2 linked regions of the Rhinolophus ferrumequinum genome follow. The protein of the gene in region 2 binds, or shares a complex with, the protein of the main gene of each other region. Links are inferred from orthologs where the notes say so. Each region holds a gene or a part of one and is shown on either strand. Other genes may lie near its edges.

The links.
Region 1: the proteins of OPRM1 (region 2) and POMC are in contact, whole or in part, in a cryo-EM structure (PDB 8F7Q), measured with the Homo sapiens proteins. The link is inferred for Rhinolophus ferrumequinum from reciprocal best matches to the Homo sapiens genes OPRM1 and POMC. Residues at the interface, in NP_000905.3 of Homo sapiens: Ser66, Met67, Ala70, Ile71, Met74, Gln126, Asn129, Tyr130, Leu131, Met132, Gly133, Trp135, Val145, Ile146, Asp149, Tyr150, Met153, Arg213, Ile217, Asp218, Cys219, Thr220, Glu231, Lys235, Val238, Ile298, Val302, Lys305, Trp320, Ile324; in NP_000930.1 of Homo sapiens: Tyr237, Gly238, Gly239, Phe240, Met241, Thr242, Ser243, Glu244, Lys245, Thr248, Pro249, Leu250, Val251, Leu253.

The regions. Positions count from the first base shown.
Region 1 is NC_046296.1:54,938,225-54,946,497, reverse strand, and holds the start of POMC (pro-opiomelanocortin), read right to left. Parts: upstream 3,321-8,273; 5' UTR 3,166-3,320; intron 1-3,165.
Region 2 is NC_046286.1:96,561,663-96,569,187, reverse strand, and holds the start of OPRM1 (mu-type opioid receptor), read right to left. Parts: upstream 3,277-7,525; 5' UTR 2,827-3,276; coding exon 2,534-2,826; intron 1-2,533. UniProt on the Homo sapiens protein: Receptor for endogenous opioids such as beta-endorphin and endomorphin. Receptor for natural and synthetic opioids including morphine, heroin, DAMGO, fentanyl, etorphine, buprenorphin and methadone.

The DNA.
Region 1 (8,273 bases), on a different chromosome or scaffold from region 2:
AGGACAGGAGCAGTTCAAGAAGCTTGGTGTGCAGGGTGGTGGGACAAATTGTGGTAGAGAGGAGGGAAGTGGGACCTGGGCAAAGCGTGTGCAAGTTCTCCTTTATCTCCTGTTAAAATCAGACCCTAAAGGAGGTTAGGGCTGGAAGCTCTTTTGGAGGTCATTTGGTCCAGCCTCTATTTGAGAGATGGGGAAGCTGAGGCCCAGAGAGAGAGAATAACTTGGGTATTCATGACAAGGTTAAGGCTAAGTTCTCCTGTTTCCAACACAGAACTTTCCTACGTCACCACCTTCATGAAGCTATAATTCTGACACTCCAGATCCAAAGAGAAACTTGGGAAAGACAGGACCCTGAAACTCCTGCTCAAGATGGTCTTTTCCCCTCCTCCGCACCACGATCCTACCACTCCTCAGAAACTATTTCCTATGAATAGTTGGTTTACATAGAAGCAAATAAAACCTCTGGCCAATTTAGCCAAAACCTTAGCCAACCCATTTTGATGCCCTGTACACAAGTCACTCAGGTGGTCACTATTCCCAGAGCACTGCATCTTTGGAGAGACTTATTTTTAAAGCAGACCCCCATTCTTTGAAAACTGACTCATCTTCTGAACACATTAGATGTCAGATCACTTGTTCTCTAAGTTTCTCTGAGTTTCTCTGAAATAGTTGGATTAAAGATGCTGTCAGTGTAGAAGGGAAGGAGATGGACACACATAGCAGAAGGGAATGACCTCCCACGTCAGGAAGAACCTCTGGGCAGATATTGAGTTCAAAAGGTCAGGATGCAGTAAAGAGGGGAGCACCAAGGCTTCCTGATGCTGCCTTTTGTCCCCCATGCCCAACCCTTTCACCAGCCCTCTAGGTTTCATGCTGCCATGTACCCCTTCACCCAGGCCAGCCCCCTGGAGTGACCCCAAATTCTCACCACCAACCCCACAATCATTTTGGATTTCAGAAGATCTTCTCAACCCAGCTGTTAGAAAGAAACCTAATTAGATGAGAAAAGTAATTCACATTAAGGTGAGGATAACTAATTGTTTGTCTCTCCTAATGCACATTTGCATTTTAAAATAAGTTTGCCTGAAAGAAATCTCTCATTAGTGGAGGCGTGGGCAAAATTTATTTTATAGGGAAAGCTTTGGAAGTGAAAGTTCTCTCTGGCTTTCATTGTCTACTTCAGGAAGCCACTTCCTTCTCTCTGCCCCACCCCCACTCCTTTCCCCAAAAGCTGAGCCAGCTCAGGGCTCCCTTCTGAATGGCGGCCAGGAACCACCTGAGTGTTTTCAGAGCAGCCATTAGATGGCGTTGGCAGCCAGTGAGCTGGCCCTTCAGCATATCAGGCTGAAGGGGCAACTGGGAGAGCATTGGTCCACCTTGATGGCCAGTCCTGACCAGGGACAAGATGCTACTGTTGTAGCCTTTTAATTCTCCAGTTCAAGTATGAAGCCTGAACTTGCTGGACAAGGCAATTTATACTAAAGCCCTGAGACCACACAGTACATTTGGGTCAGAAAAATGCCCAGATTTACAAGAGAAACAGGAAAACGGTAGTTATATATCACTGTGGGCAAGGGTAAAAGAACACATCGGTAGAGAAAGAAGTAAAATCATACAGGTCTGATAGTCCCTCAACTGTATTTCAAGTCTCCTCAAAATTGTCGTTCTGAAATGATTTCCACTTTCTAAAAACCTACCTCATGATTTAAAGCCTCCCTGAAAAGCCCCTTGAGAGCATTTCCTTACCTTTTGCCCCACTAGCTATGTTGTACACGTGGTAATTTTATCACTCCCCATCCTCTCAGAGCTCCATTCTACTGCTAAAAAGATTGTTTCCTGAAAGCAACATGTTTTCTTTTTGCTTGTATGTAGTCTCTATTTTTCTACACTGAATAAATATTGCCTTATGCCATTTTTAAAAAGCAATATAGTAATGGGGAGATGTCAAATATTGTACTTTTTGTAAGTAGGGAGAGGGTTATAATCCAATCATTGAAAGCCTTGGAAAACTAAATAGAAATCTGTACTTTGTTAATTTTGGCATTAGCTTTATGATAGAACTACACTTGTTAGAACTTCATATGTGTAGGTGAATTCTCTGTGAGCTAAACAAAATATTTTGTGTGCTACTGTAAAATTGCACAGTGGCAATGCCCTTCTGTAAAGATTAGAAGAGCAGGGGTGCAGAATTTTGTCCTTGCAGCATGATACACATGCATGGAGTCCTAAAACAAAAGTGTGGAAGGATTAAGTCATTAAATAAGCCATAAACTGGACATATCTTAACAACTGACAAAACAAATGCACACTTTTACTTTCCTCGACTCCTTCCAGTCATTCTGTGAGAACCACCACCTCCCCCATTTATACGCGAAGAATTTGGGGGATCCAAATGCCTTGAAGACTCCCTCTCCTTCGCTGGAAACCCCCCTTGACTGAGCCTCCGCCACTTCAAATGGCTGCTTCCACCCTGCAATCTAGGGTCTGCGGGATAGAAAGAAGGTCCACTCTGCGGTCCTATTGAGGGGACAGGCAGGGTGGTTCAGGACCTCGGATAGTTCCCGCCCGGGCCACCTCTTTTAACCCCAGCTGGATCCCCTAGAGGAGACCCGAATCATCGTAGCGCAGGCACGTCGGGTGCGCTAAAGTGAGCAGAAAAAAGAGGATTTGGGAGTCTGAATAAAAAAAAATAAAAAAATAAAAAATGTCTAGGATGCAAGGAGCTGATTGTGGCTTTTAGCCCTTTCTCTCCTGCTCCCATTTCCAACGTTAATTTGCGCTAGAGTATATGGTATCTTTTAAGTGACACCTACCCAGAAAATCGGGAGGAAGAGGAGCCAAGAGCCCGGGCTCTCCTGAGATCTCCCCAGAACGGGGTAGGACTCTCAGGGGTCCACTCCCCGGGGGGAAAACGCGGCCGCCAGCTCCTGAAAGACACCGCTCAGCGTCGCAGCCGTTTCACCCACCGTCCGGAGCTGGCCCTCGCGGCTCTGCTGCCGGTGACTTCCCACACCACATTCAGTGCAGAAAGTTTTCAAAGGACTCCGGACTGCGCCGAGCCAAAGGCGCCTCAGGTTGGCGACTGGAGCCGGGCGACAGCTTCCCGCGTTCCCGGGGCAGGGTGTCCCGGGGTAAAAGCGAGGTTCCGCGCCGCTGCACCCTTACCTGTCGTGGGGAGGCTGCTGTCTGGGCGACTCCCGCTGCCCGGAAGGGAGGATGCTCGGCGGCTTCTGTCCGTCCTTCACTTTTCTTCCCTTCTTTCTCCTGTTTCGCCGCCGCCTGGTCCCGGTCGCTGTCCTAGGTCCTTATATACGTCGCCAGAGTGGGCGCTGGACGTGAACTTCCCGGGCAGCGTGACAAGCAATTCCCCCGTCCATAGGAAGGGGGGCCATGGAGCGCAGGAGGGGGGGTTTCCAGGTAGGGGCTGAGCGCAAGGACAGACGTGCCCGGAAAGGGGGCTGGATCTCTGCCCTCCGAGGCTGGAATTAACACTGTCCCGCAGAAAGGCACAGCTGGCAGCCCTCAGGAAACAACTTAATTAAGGACGGTGTCAGGTCTCCAGCTGAGACAACCAGGCGGCTTAGCACTCCGGTGTAGGGTGGGCCTGGTGCGCCCTCTGAGGTCGTTGAGTAGAGGGTAAAATTACTTGTGTGCGTGTTTGGGCTGGCATTGACCTCGTTTGCATTTGCAGGTAAATATCACCGCAAAGGGAGGACTTCCGTAATACCTCAGATTTCCCCAAAGTTTGGTAACTGGTGTGAAGATGTCACCATGAATCACAATCCCTCTGTTTCGGGTAGGGGCCCGGAGAGGGGGTGGAAGGCAGGGGCCTGGGGCAGAGAAGGTCAGGAGTCACACACCTGAGACCCAAGACAGATTGCCTTCTTGGGGTGTGAAGGTGAGTGGCACTGCCCCCACCCCCACATACTCCCCAAGGAACTAGCCCAGGTAGGTTCTCTCCTGTGCCACAAACCCCAAGAGAATGCTATTAACTTTAGACTATTAATGGGGGGGTGGGGAGGAGTGCTCTGTGAAGAGTAGCTGAAGTACTTTCTTTGTGATATCTGAGCCCTTCCCATGGCCATGAACTGGCAGAGTGGTCTCAATCTTCTCCAAGACTGGCCTTGGAGGTCTGGGTTGGCTCCAATCCCAAATGTCAGGCCAGGGAGGAGAAGACAGCACTCAAACCTGCAAGTGGAAGATACTCTTCCTTAACTGGAGTAAAAAAGCAAAATCAGGGGTGGCGGGATAGCTCAGTTGGTTAGAGTGTGGTGCTAATAACACCAAGGTTGCTGGTTAGATCCCCGCATGAGCCACTGTGAGCTGCGTCCTCCTTTAAAAAAAAAAAAAAAAAAAAAAGCAAAAGTAAATTGTGAGGAGTTACAGGGGTGGAAGTACTGAAAATCACCTGTACTTCAAATCAAGGTGCTTGATTTGAATTCAAGGTGCTTGATTTCAAATCAAGGAACTATCGTTATTCACAACCAGATGCCCTTTTGGACTCCAACCCTTCCTTGAGAATGTCTGATTAGTGACATTTGCCTTGTGTTCAGCAATCCTTTCCTTTTGGGCCATGGGAAAGATCCAAGCTCCTCACCAGTAAACGAGGCGGTTTACCCCTTGGTCTTGGCTTCTTTCCCAGGCCATCGTCCACCTCTCCATCCTGCATCCTGGCACTTGCACCACCCACAACATTCCCTTTCCCATGAACACAATTTTCTCAAGCCTCCATCTCTTTGTCCATGCTATCCCCCCAACTAAAACACCCTTCCTCTCTCCATCCACCCAGGAAAATTGAAGTCTTGCATTAAGATCCAGCTCATCCATCATCACCTATTCTCTGAAGCCCTCCTTGGCCACTTGTCCTACTTGTGACGTAAAACATGGCTTTCTCTCTTCTCCAGAGAACTGCATTCCCATCTCATCTGTACACGTAGTCTTCATTGCTGGGGAAAATTTCCACTCAGTCTTCCCTCTTCTACAGTCCTACCCCCACTACCTCCAGGCTTGTGAGCCTCTAAATCATATTGTGATTTTATCTTATTTTCCTTTGTATTATTTTTATAACTTCAAGAGGCAGCTGGCAGTAGCAGAAAAGCCAGACCAGAATAAGTTCAGATTGACCCAGCTTCTGTCTTCCTTTGTCAGCTGAGTTCTTAATTACATGCAACAGAATGGAAAGGCCATTGAAACACATTTAGAATCACTGGGCAGGCTGGGGAACCAAGATTTCAAAATGGGCAGGGACAAAAGGTGGCTGGAATCATGGCCAAAATCTGGCTGCTGATTGGATCCTATGAGAAAGAAAACCAGATTACTACTGGGAACAGGAGGCCACAAGTGGTACTGTCAACACCATGGGCATTGGACAGAGATGTCACTTCCATCCTCAGAATAAAAAGAACAGGAAGGTTGCTGTTCCCACCTCAGCTGATGTCACCAGAAAGCAATGAGCGCTGCCCTCACTTCCTTGTGTCACTAGGTCCTCTTTGAAAGCCTAATCGTCTGAGACGATAATATGATTTTCCCCTTTTTTCTGATCTTGTGATCAATTACACTGTCGATTTTTAGTTTACACCTACCACACATTCCTGGATTGAGCCCTATTTCATTATGACGTGTTATCTTTATATAGCACTGGGTTCAAATTGCTAATATTTTATTTAAGATGTTCACATCCATGTTTATGAGATTGGCCTGTAATTTTCCTTTTTTGTAGAATTCTTCTCAGATTTTGGTATTAAAGTTATACTGTCTTTATAAAATAAGTTGGAAATCCCCACCCCATTTTTTTTATAGTTCAGCAGAAGAATTTGTGTACAATAGTGTTGATCTCTTCCTCAAATGTTTGGGATGATCCATCAGTGATGCCATCTAGGTCTTTAAGATTGTTTGTTTATTGAACTGTTTTAAATTTCAGATTCAATTACTTAAATAGCCCTATTCAATTGTCTGCTTCTTCTTGTGTCAGTTTTATTTTAATAAGATACATATTTCTAGGAATTTGTCCACTTCATCTAAATCTTTAAATTTATTGACTTAAAATTTTTTATTTTGTCTTCTTTTTAACATCAGTGAAATCTGGAGTTGTGGTCCCCTCTTATCTCTGATATTGGTAATTTATGTCCTCTCTCTTTTTTCTTGATTAGTTTTCTTAGGAGTTTATCAATTTTATTAGTGTTTTTAAAGAATCAATTTTGTTTTGTTGATTTTCTCTATTGCATGACACTTTTTTCTATTTCTGAAATTTCAACTGTTGTTATTTCTTGCCTTCTAATTTCTCACTAGTTCTTCTTTTTCTACCTCCCAAGTTGGACACTAAATAAATGCTTTTGCTTAGATAACTGATATTTAACCTTTATTCTTTTAGACATATGTAAGTTGCTTTCTAAGTATGGCTTTAGTTGTATCCCACAAGTTTTGATATGTCATATTTTTATTACCATTTAGTTTAACATATCTTCTTGTTTTCATTGAGATGTCTTGATTGACCTAGGGGTTATTGAGACTGTTCTGTTTAACTTCCAAACATTGGCGGTTGTCTAGTTATGTTTTGAAACTAATTTTTGGCCTAATTTTCCTGTGGTCAGAGAATCTGCTCTATTTGATTTCAGTCCTTTGTGTGTGTGGCAGGAGGGGGTGGGAGGGGAAGCTGCTTAATGGATGAGCATGTGGTCCATTTTGATTAATGTTTGATTCATGTTCACTTCAAAAGAATATGTATTCTATGGTTGCTCAAATATTCTATATCCTTTCTATACCTGTATCCTTCCTGATTATTTGCCATCTTATTCCATTAGTTACTAATTAAAGTATGTTTTTAAAATCTCCCCATTATTTTTGTGGATTTACTACTTTACCCTTTGGTCCTGGCATAAAAACAACTCTTTCTGGAAATCTAATGGTGGATTGGGGCAGTGGGGGAGAGTAACATAGGGTCAGACAGGTACTAGAGCATGGCTGCACGCTAACGGGAATGATTGAGCAGAGAGGGGGAAATTGATGTTGCAGATAAGAGTGGGGGGAAAAAACCAAGTAATCCAAGCTTTAAATAAGCGAGATGGGATCCAGAGGAAGAACCTGGCCTACAAACAGTGGAGGGCCTTCCTCGTCTGTAACAGGGATGGAGGGTCGGGGAAGATGCAGACACAGGTGAACTTACAGGATAACCCGTGGGAGGGCGATGGACTCCTGCCTGTACCAAAGTCTTTACCTTTTAACCCAGCATTTCCTGGGAATTATCCAGGGGACATTACCACACTAAATGCTGTTCAAGACTACTCATTCAATATTGTTTATAGTAGCGATAAAGTGAAATTAAACTAAATACCTATAGTAGGGTATAATTATAAAAAATTATGGTAAAGCCATACAAGGAACTACTCCACAGCCATTCAAAATAATAACGTCAATATTTACTTCTAGACATAATAAAATTATGGCTACATGTGGTTAAGTGAAGTATGATAAGATATAGATATAAATATAGCTAGCAATGGAGATACAAATAGAGATAAAGATGAAAAGGTATCAAAGTGTGATAACAGTTGTTTTGGTTATCCAATGCTATATCACAGACCACCTCCCAAACTTAATGGGTTGAAAGAACAATATTCATTTTGAGCATGAATCTGCAGTTCCGGGGTTTTTGAGCAGAATCTGGAGTCTGGCAAAGCCAGCCTGTCTCTGCCTCACTCGGCATCAGCTTGGGCAGCTCAAAGGCTGAGGTGATAATTACCTGAAGCCATTCACTCACATGACTGGTTCCTGGACTGAGAAGACTTAAACAGCTGGGCCTCCTCAGACACCTGTCTGTATCTCTGTGCAGCCTTGCCATGTGCTCTCTTCAGCATGGCAGTTTTAGAGGAACAGACTTCTGCCACCTAGGCTCAGGCCTCCCAACACGCATCTGGACGCGATTTGCCCTGCGTGTCAAGGGGATGAGTGGTCAGCAAGCACTCCCCAGAGAAGGGGGTGCTGAGTTGGGCTGAGCGGTGATACAATAGGTCACCAGGATGAAGACAGGAAAGGCACTCCAGGCGGAGGGAACAGCATGCGGTATAATAGGAGAAACTCTGTTATATTCTTGGAATGCTGGGTGCACGTGGTGAAGGGAAAGAGGGAAAAGGCTGGAAACAGTCAGAGGCAAGAGGGGAAGAGGTAGGGGACCCTTGAGGGATTGAGTTGGAGTAGCGGTAAGGAGGCTGATCAGAGGACCACGGGGCCTGGATAGCGGGGAATGATGGGAAGCCCGGCGCTCTGCCACGGACCCG
Region 2 (7,525 bases):
ATTCAAAATTATTTGTTGAATTTTAAACAGTAGCAGGAAGTGAGCATTTTATCTCCATACTTTAATAGATGCAGCATTAAATTCATTGTTTTAACAGGGACGATAATATCCCTGAACCCATCATTTTGTAGTGAAAACACCACAACCTGGAGACAGTCCAGTTAAATATTCTCAGCTACATAAACTTTCTTCAATCCCCAGATACTCTCCTCATCAGTCCATCCGTCACTGAACTGTCTATTTTTCTGTTTCATATTCATGTTCCCAGTGGGTCATCTGACCTTGGATTAAACACCTGACTTGCCACAGGTTGATGTTTGGGTGTCCTTTCAAATCATAGTGGCATTTTGGTAGAACTTTCAGTACAGAGAAGTAAAGCATAATATCATGTTCTCAGTAAGATAAAATGTCACCATCCTTTTCCAAGTCATCAAGAGGTTAGAGGTAATGCCTTTAAAACAAACTCACCTAACCAGCAATCTCTTAAACCTGGAATAAGACCAATTTGCTTAATCGACAGCCAGTTGCTGCTCTATTGACTCTCCCTTTATAGAAAAGCATAAACTAGAGGGGAGAAAAATGATGAAGGAAAATACCAAGAGAAGCAATAAAAGGGAAGAAAATATTATGTTTCATATGGCAGGATTTCTAGATACTTTGGCAGTTTAGATTCATCCATTATTCTCCAGGATTCCAGACATAAATTGGGAAAATTTATCATTTCTACATTATTACTGTTACCTAAACCTACTCTGTCAATCTTTTTGTCTAATTAACTCAAATCAAGATTTGCCACTCTAATAAACAGAAAATTATATTGGCTAAGAGAAATTCAGTGGTATTGAACTAATTAAATATCTATCCTTGAAGAAATCATTTATGTTTTCTGTGCCTCAGTTTACTCACTTAGCATAGATAATCTTTAGAGTCACTTCTGGTCCTATAAGCTTATGATTTCATGAATTTTCTTAGGAAAAATGAGAAACATATTTTCCCTTCATAATGCAGGCCTTAAATTATGATTTTTATTATAATAATTGCAAAATGAGATTTAGGTTTTATCTTTGATATGAATCTTTGTATTGGATTACATAAAGTAAATGTTTATAAAAATAAAGTCTTCCATTGATTCTCTTCCTGCATTATCTTCTGTTGTTAGCCTTCTTCTCAATAGATGGTGCTGTTTTCTCAGAGACGTTACTTATCTTATTCCTCATCAAAAGATCAGAGAAATTAGTATTATTCTGTAGTAATCATTAATTAAAGAAATCAGACATATAAGTAGAAAATCAATTACAAGCAACTCAGAAACATAATGGGGAAAATGGATTGTTGAATGGTTAAAGAGCTCCATTGAAACCTGCCCTATTTGCAGAATAGATGAAGCAAATATTGTAACTCACCATGAAAATTCCATGTTCACTACATACATAGAACACACAGATCCCCCAATAGGAAGAAAATCCTAAATAAAGTGTTAAAATCATTATTTTCTTTAACAAACGTAAATATGTATTATTCCATGTTAAAATGTAGGATTTGAACGTGCATAATACTAACACAATCTATAACAATCTCAATTGATATCGAGCGTTTGCATACTCTTTGCCAAGTAAACCCAGAGCATCTGGGAAACAGAAAATCGGCCACAAACTCTTTTGAAATCATTACCCTGGATAAAGACATTTTTTTATTTTTTAAGAGCAACCATTACAACTTCCTATATAATAGTTTATAATGCAGAATTGTGCTGCTTTTGGTCACTTCTAGCTGGTTCCTCCTTTTGGAGGCATTGAAACACAGTTACATCCTGCACTTTTGAACCACCCTACCTATTCCCGAGTCAGATCTCCTTAGCACATCTCCCTAGCAGCTGCTAACTAAAAAAACTAGTCTAGGCAACACAACTGTCATATTTGGTACAACAAAGCAACACTGTGGCGAGACACCAGGAAAACTTCCTCTATGAGTGTGGCCTTAGGACTGGGAGGTGGAGTGGGGTAAGGACTACATGACAAGGGAAGGGGACGGTGGGGATATGGTACAGCAAAGAAACTAGCAGGAGTTGGAATGTTGCCCAGGTTCAACTCTGAAAAGAACTGAGAAGGAGACCTGGCCCCCAATGAGAGAAAATAAACTAGAATTCCTCTTGCATTAGTCACAAATTACTGTTTCCACAACTTCTGCCTAAAGGACTGTGGGATTCTGCCCCAGAGCCCTCTTGAAGCCAGCTCTAAGATAGAGCACTTTTTTTTTTTTTTTTTTGGTGGGAGCTTTATAGCTCTCACCAAAGCAACTTTTCTGTTCCTGAAATTTGGGGTTCTTCTTTATCACTGGGGGGTGGGGGTGGAATGGAAAAGTAGGTTTTTGCACTCAAACAATAACCACTCTGTATTCATTGTCACTTCACATTCTCCCTTTTACCTCTCTTCTCTCATCCTCCCTCCCAACACTCTGCCTGGGGGCTCGGGTGTCCCTTTATGCCCCTAGTAGTCCCTGAAATCACCGCTCGGAGTTCTGGCGCCTTTCTTACCTGACAATCACATACATGACCAGGAAGTTTCCGAAGAGACCCACCACGCACACGATGGAGTAGAGGGCCATGATGGTGATGGCCGTGATCATAGAAGGACTGCTGGTCGGAGGGCACAAGCTGTCGCTCCCGCCCAGCTCGGTGCGGTTCGGACCGCACGGGTCGGACAGGTTGCCATCTAAGTGGGAGAAGTTGACCCAGGAACCGGGGCTAGGTGCTGGGGAGCAACTTGAAGAGCGCGTGAAGGGATCAGTGCAGTTACTGGCGTTCCCGGGGACGGCGCCGCTGTCCATGGTGCTGGCGGCCGGCTGGGACCACGTTGTGAGGTAACCGCGAGCACCCGGACTTTTCAGGTTCCACACGCCTCAGCCGCTTCTTTCGCCGCTGCCACAGCTCCTGCTATTTCTTACACAGACCAACCCTGGCGGAGCTAGAGAGGAACGTCAGGCAGAAGGGGGAGAACTGAATATCTGTCATCCTCTTCTTGTAGCCCCCCTCCCACCTTAATAGTACAGAGACACATCCCCAACACAGCACCGCTGGGGGAGGGGACAGAGGGCTGTGCGGGATCCAGAGGCTGGAGGGGAGGGAGGAGAGAGAAGGGGTGGATTTTGCGCAAAGCAGTCCAAGGAGTTGTTCTCCCCACTTGGCCCTCGTCTGTGCAAACACCTCTAAGGAGGGGCAGAATGGGGAAGAGAGTTGGAAGGAAGGGGTGGGGAGTGAGACAGACAGTTTTTGGCAGCAGTAAAGCATAAGAAAGGGTGGGGGCTGTCATCACTGTTTTCCCAGCGCCGTTTTCTCTGTATGATACGACAGGAAAGACATTGGTCTCTTGCAACCCAAGCAACCCTTACACCCCAACTCCCTACTGTCTATCGCAATCATTTAGGGCAGGGAACACACATTCCTCTTCTTTAGTCCTCCGTGCCTCAGTCCCACACATACTTGAAAATGTAGCTGTGTTTTTCATATTGCTAAATGAGAATTTCAAACATGCCTGAAACAAGAGTGAGCATTTCTCTGAAAAACAAATGGGTAACATCAACTTTTGTGGAGAAAACCTATCCCCCTTATTGTATATTTCCCTGTTTTCTCCTAGAGTAGAAGATCCTGTTGCATCTGATTTCTTTCCGGGTGGGAAGAGGTACAAGAATGGGTTACAGAAATCATTGAATTCCAGGAAAGTTAACAAAAGATAATGGTTAACCTCCACATCTTAAATCCCATAGATCCACTGGAATTATTAATTATCCATTTTATCTCCAGACTTCCTACATGGATGTGTGCTTCTCAGTAGAACATTGTTAAAACCAAACACCATTTGCTTTCATTCAGTCTGTTTTCTAGTGTTTTGATTCCAGGAGGAATCTCATAGACAACTGGAACTGGAGTGGCCCACATAAGGTTGAGGAATATTGATACATTTTTAAGTGTCATATCTCACTTCGAAGTCCACAAATACTTCTGTTTTAGAAATAAATTGGTAAATCAACCAAGGGTAAGCTTTTTTTCCTTGTAAAATTAACACTAATTTTGAAGTCATTCTCATTTTTACACATCTGTGTGTTTGTGTGTGTGTGTGTGTATATATATATATATATATATATATATATATATATATATATATTTTTTTTTTTTTTTTTTTTTTTTTTAACAATACACATTGGCACCAAATGCCGTCATTGGTTGTAGAAAGTTATACTTCTGGGGAGCAGGAAGTGGAGTGGATGAGGGAACTCGGAAGGAAGATGTAATTCTAATGTTATTTTTATCATTTCTTGTTTTGCCAGTATTCAGTATTTATTTTTATCCTTTTACATTATAGGCTATACTCTCAGCAATAAAATGTCACAAAGATCTCCTAGAGACTAATAAAAATACCTGACCACATTTTGTCCTATAAACTAATATATCAATTCACTCACACTGAGCTGAAATTTGTCTGCCATTATTCTGTCTCTAGAAGACACATACAACCAGCCTAAGCTGACTTCATGTGAACAACAAATAGGTACAATGTCATAAGCCCTGGCCTTGAAGTAAAATCATTTGGTGAATCTTAGATTTGTAACTTTTTAGCTGTATGAGTTTGGATATGTTACTTCACCTTATTGAGTGACAGTTTTTTTTATCAGTTAAAAAAAAAAGGTAACAATACCTCATATGTCTGTTAGTAGGATTAAATGAGACACAGAATGCCACAGTAGTTGTTTAATAAATGATAACTGTTATTATTACTTCATATGTTTGTAATAACTTAGTAATCTCTTCTACAAGTTAAACATTAGCTCCCTTCAGCTGTTTCTAAGATGTAGTATTGGGTTCTTTTAGTAGCCTTGCCTCTTTTCTATTCACATTATAGTTTGTTCATCTGCTCTTAATGTACAGTTCGAGTTAAAAGCAGTGCCCCAAGTTTGGCCTAACCAAAGAAAAGTGAGGAAGAGTCTAAACCTCCTCTTTTTGAACACACTGCTTTCTTGACCCTCCTTAGGTTTAGTATTGACAAAATTTTCTAAACACAATCCAGGTCAGTTCAACAAATACTTATTAAATATCTACTTTGGATCAGGTGCTGGAGTTAAGAAAAGATAGAGACAACAGTTTTCGAATGCAGGAGCTTACTTCTTATACTTGATGAGTCATGTTTTCCTCTCCTATAAATTTATAGTTGTTTCAGAGGTATCTGAGTACAACAGTATAGGATTTTTATTTTCAAATTACATCTTTAGATGCAGTTCATGATTCAAATCTAATAAGATCTTTTGGAAGTGTGATTCTGTCATCTTTTACATGCATGCTTCCTACTTGATATATTTTATTTACCTTCCCTGCTTTGTCTACTCTAGAATAAGTTTCCTGAGGGCAGGCCCATTCACTACTTAATGCATAGTGGACTCCCTTCCTCTCGCTCTATATATATATGTACATACATAATATTTTAATTTAATTGAAAATAATTAGCATATTTTTTTCATAAGAGCTATGGACTAAATATTTATGTCCCCACAGAATATATATGTTGAAATCCTAATTCCTAATGTGATGGCATTAGGAGATGAAGGGTCTTTGGTAGGTAATTAGGTTATGAGGATGGAGCCTTCATGAATGAGATTATTGCCCTTATCAAAGAGATCCCAGAAAAATTTCTCTCTCTTTTTCCACCATGTGAGGGCACAATGAGAAGACAGCAACCCAGAAGAGGGCACTTACCAGAACCCGACCTTGCTGGCTCCCTGATCTTGGACTTTCAGCCCCCAGAACTGTGAGAAATAAATTTCTGTTGTTAATAAGACAGTTAGTTTATGGTATTTTGTTATAGCAGCCCAAACTGAAGAAGACAATAACATTACCTAAAATAATCTTTTTGATTTTTAAATGGCACAGCTTAAAAACAAAACATTTTATGAATGTTTCAATAATAACGTTTTGTACTTTTTAGCTCAGTATATTGTATTAATCAGCCAGGATGTAACTGTGTAGACATATTGACTAACCATATGACTTTTCTTCTAGAATTAGTCAAAGAGCAATTATGTGTTGTTCATTATATTCTACAAAAAATATAATCATTGTATGGAGTAGGAATTTGAACTTTGTGCTTCAACTATTTATTTTTAATGGAAATTTGATGTTTTCTTTTTGTATTACCCTTTCTCAAGTTTCCTTAAGGACAACTATTATATATATTTTGAATGCAGGATTTTCTGGATATCATTGCAGAATCCTCTTAAAGTACATTACCATCTCAGTATCTCACATCTATTCAATATACAACTGGGCAAAATACAGAAAAAAATTAAATTTCTCTTTCAAATATGTTGCGATAGCCTTGAGAAAGCTAGGGAAGAGCTGTTATAGAAAGAACCACTAAAAACCACTTAATATATAGTGTAAAAGAACCTCAAATTCCAGCTTCCATTATATCTTAGTTGCCCTATCGTGAGTTTTCCCTTTTCTCCAACATTACACATTTCCTATCAGAGTGATCTCAACTCTGCTATGAAATCTCATGTCTCTTGTTAAAGGAAATGAACTATAAGTACAAGAGTTAACTTATTACAAACCTAATTATTTTATATAACATGTATTCTAACCATATAAAGTTTAATTTCTATTATATTTTATCTGTGTAATAGAAATGTCTGCCTTTTTGTTGATATTTCTTGCTTAGCATAGATTTTCTTTTGAAGAAAGAAAAAATTATCAGTCAAAATTTAACATTGACATCAAAACCATATCATACATTTTTTTCCCCATAAAAATATTTGCTTCAAAACAATGCATTTACTAATAGCTAGGATGGATCTAGGCAAGTGGTAAAAGTCATTCCTTCTCCTTGAATTTCAAAGTATATTAGCTTTAGTTATTCATATAATTGCCGTCATCCCACACTTATTTTAATAGCTTAGTCCTGCTTTTTTGAGACTGGATGTTAATGGAACACATGATTAACATCTATTAATGTGAAATACAGACATAAATACTACCCGTGACACTATTAGAGTGGCTTCAAGCTCAGGAGAGAAAGGGACATCCAAAGTGTGTGTGTGTGTGTGTGTGTGTGTATAATGGGAATGTAAATGTATTGCAATATTTTCCTTGATCACTGTGTTGTTGCATAAACATCCAGAGAAGTGGAGAACAGGTGCTCTTATTTATATGATAAAAATAAAACGAAAAAGAAAAACTTTACAACTACCTCAATCTGATAAACCTAAGAGAGATATCTAGGACAGAGTGGGCAAAGGCCCTGTACTTTAAATAAAAAAGCAAATCAAAATCCAGGCTCTGCTATTTACTTCCTTGAGACTTAACTAAATGATTCATACTTCCTGATACTTGGTTTCTTCTTCTGTAAAATAAAAATATGAGAATCAACTTCAAAGAAGTTTTGCAGGACTACTTTGTATATGAAAGAACTTCTGCTTTACCTTTGGCTTTTTATATCTTATTGTGTGTGTGGCCTGGAGGTTAGCAAGAAGAATTATTGGA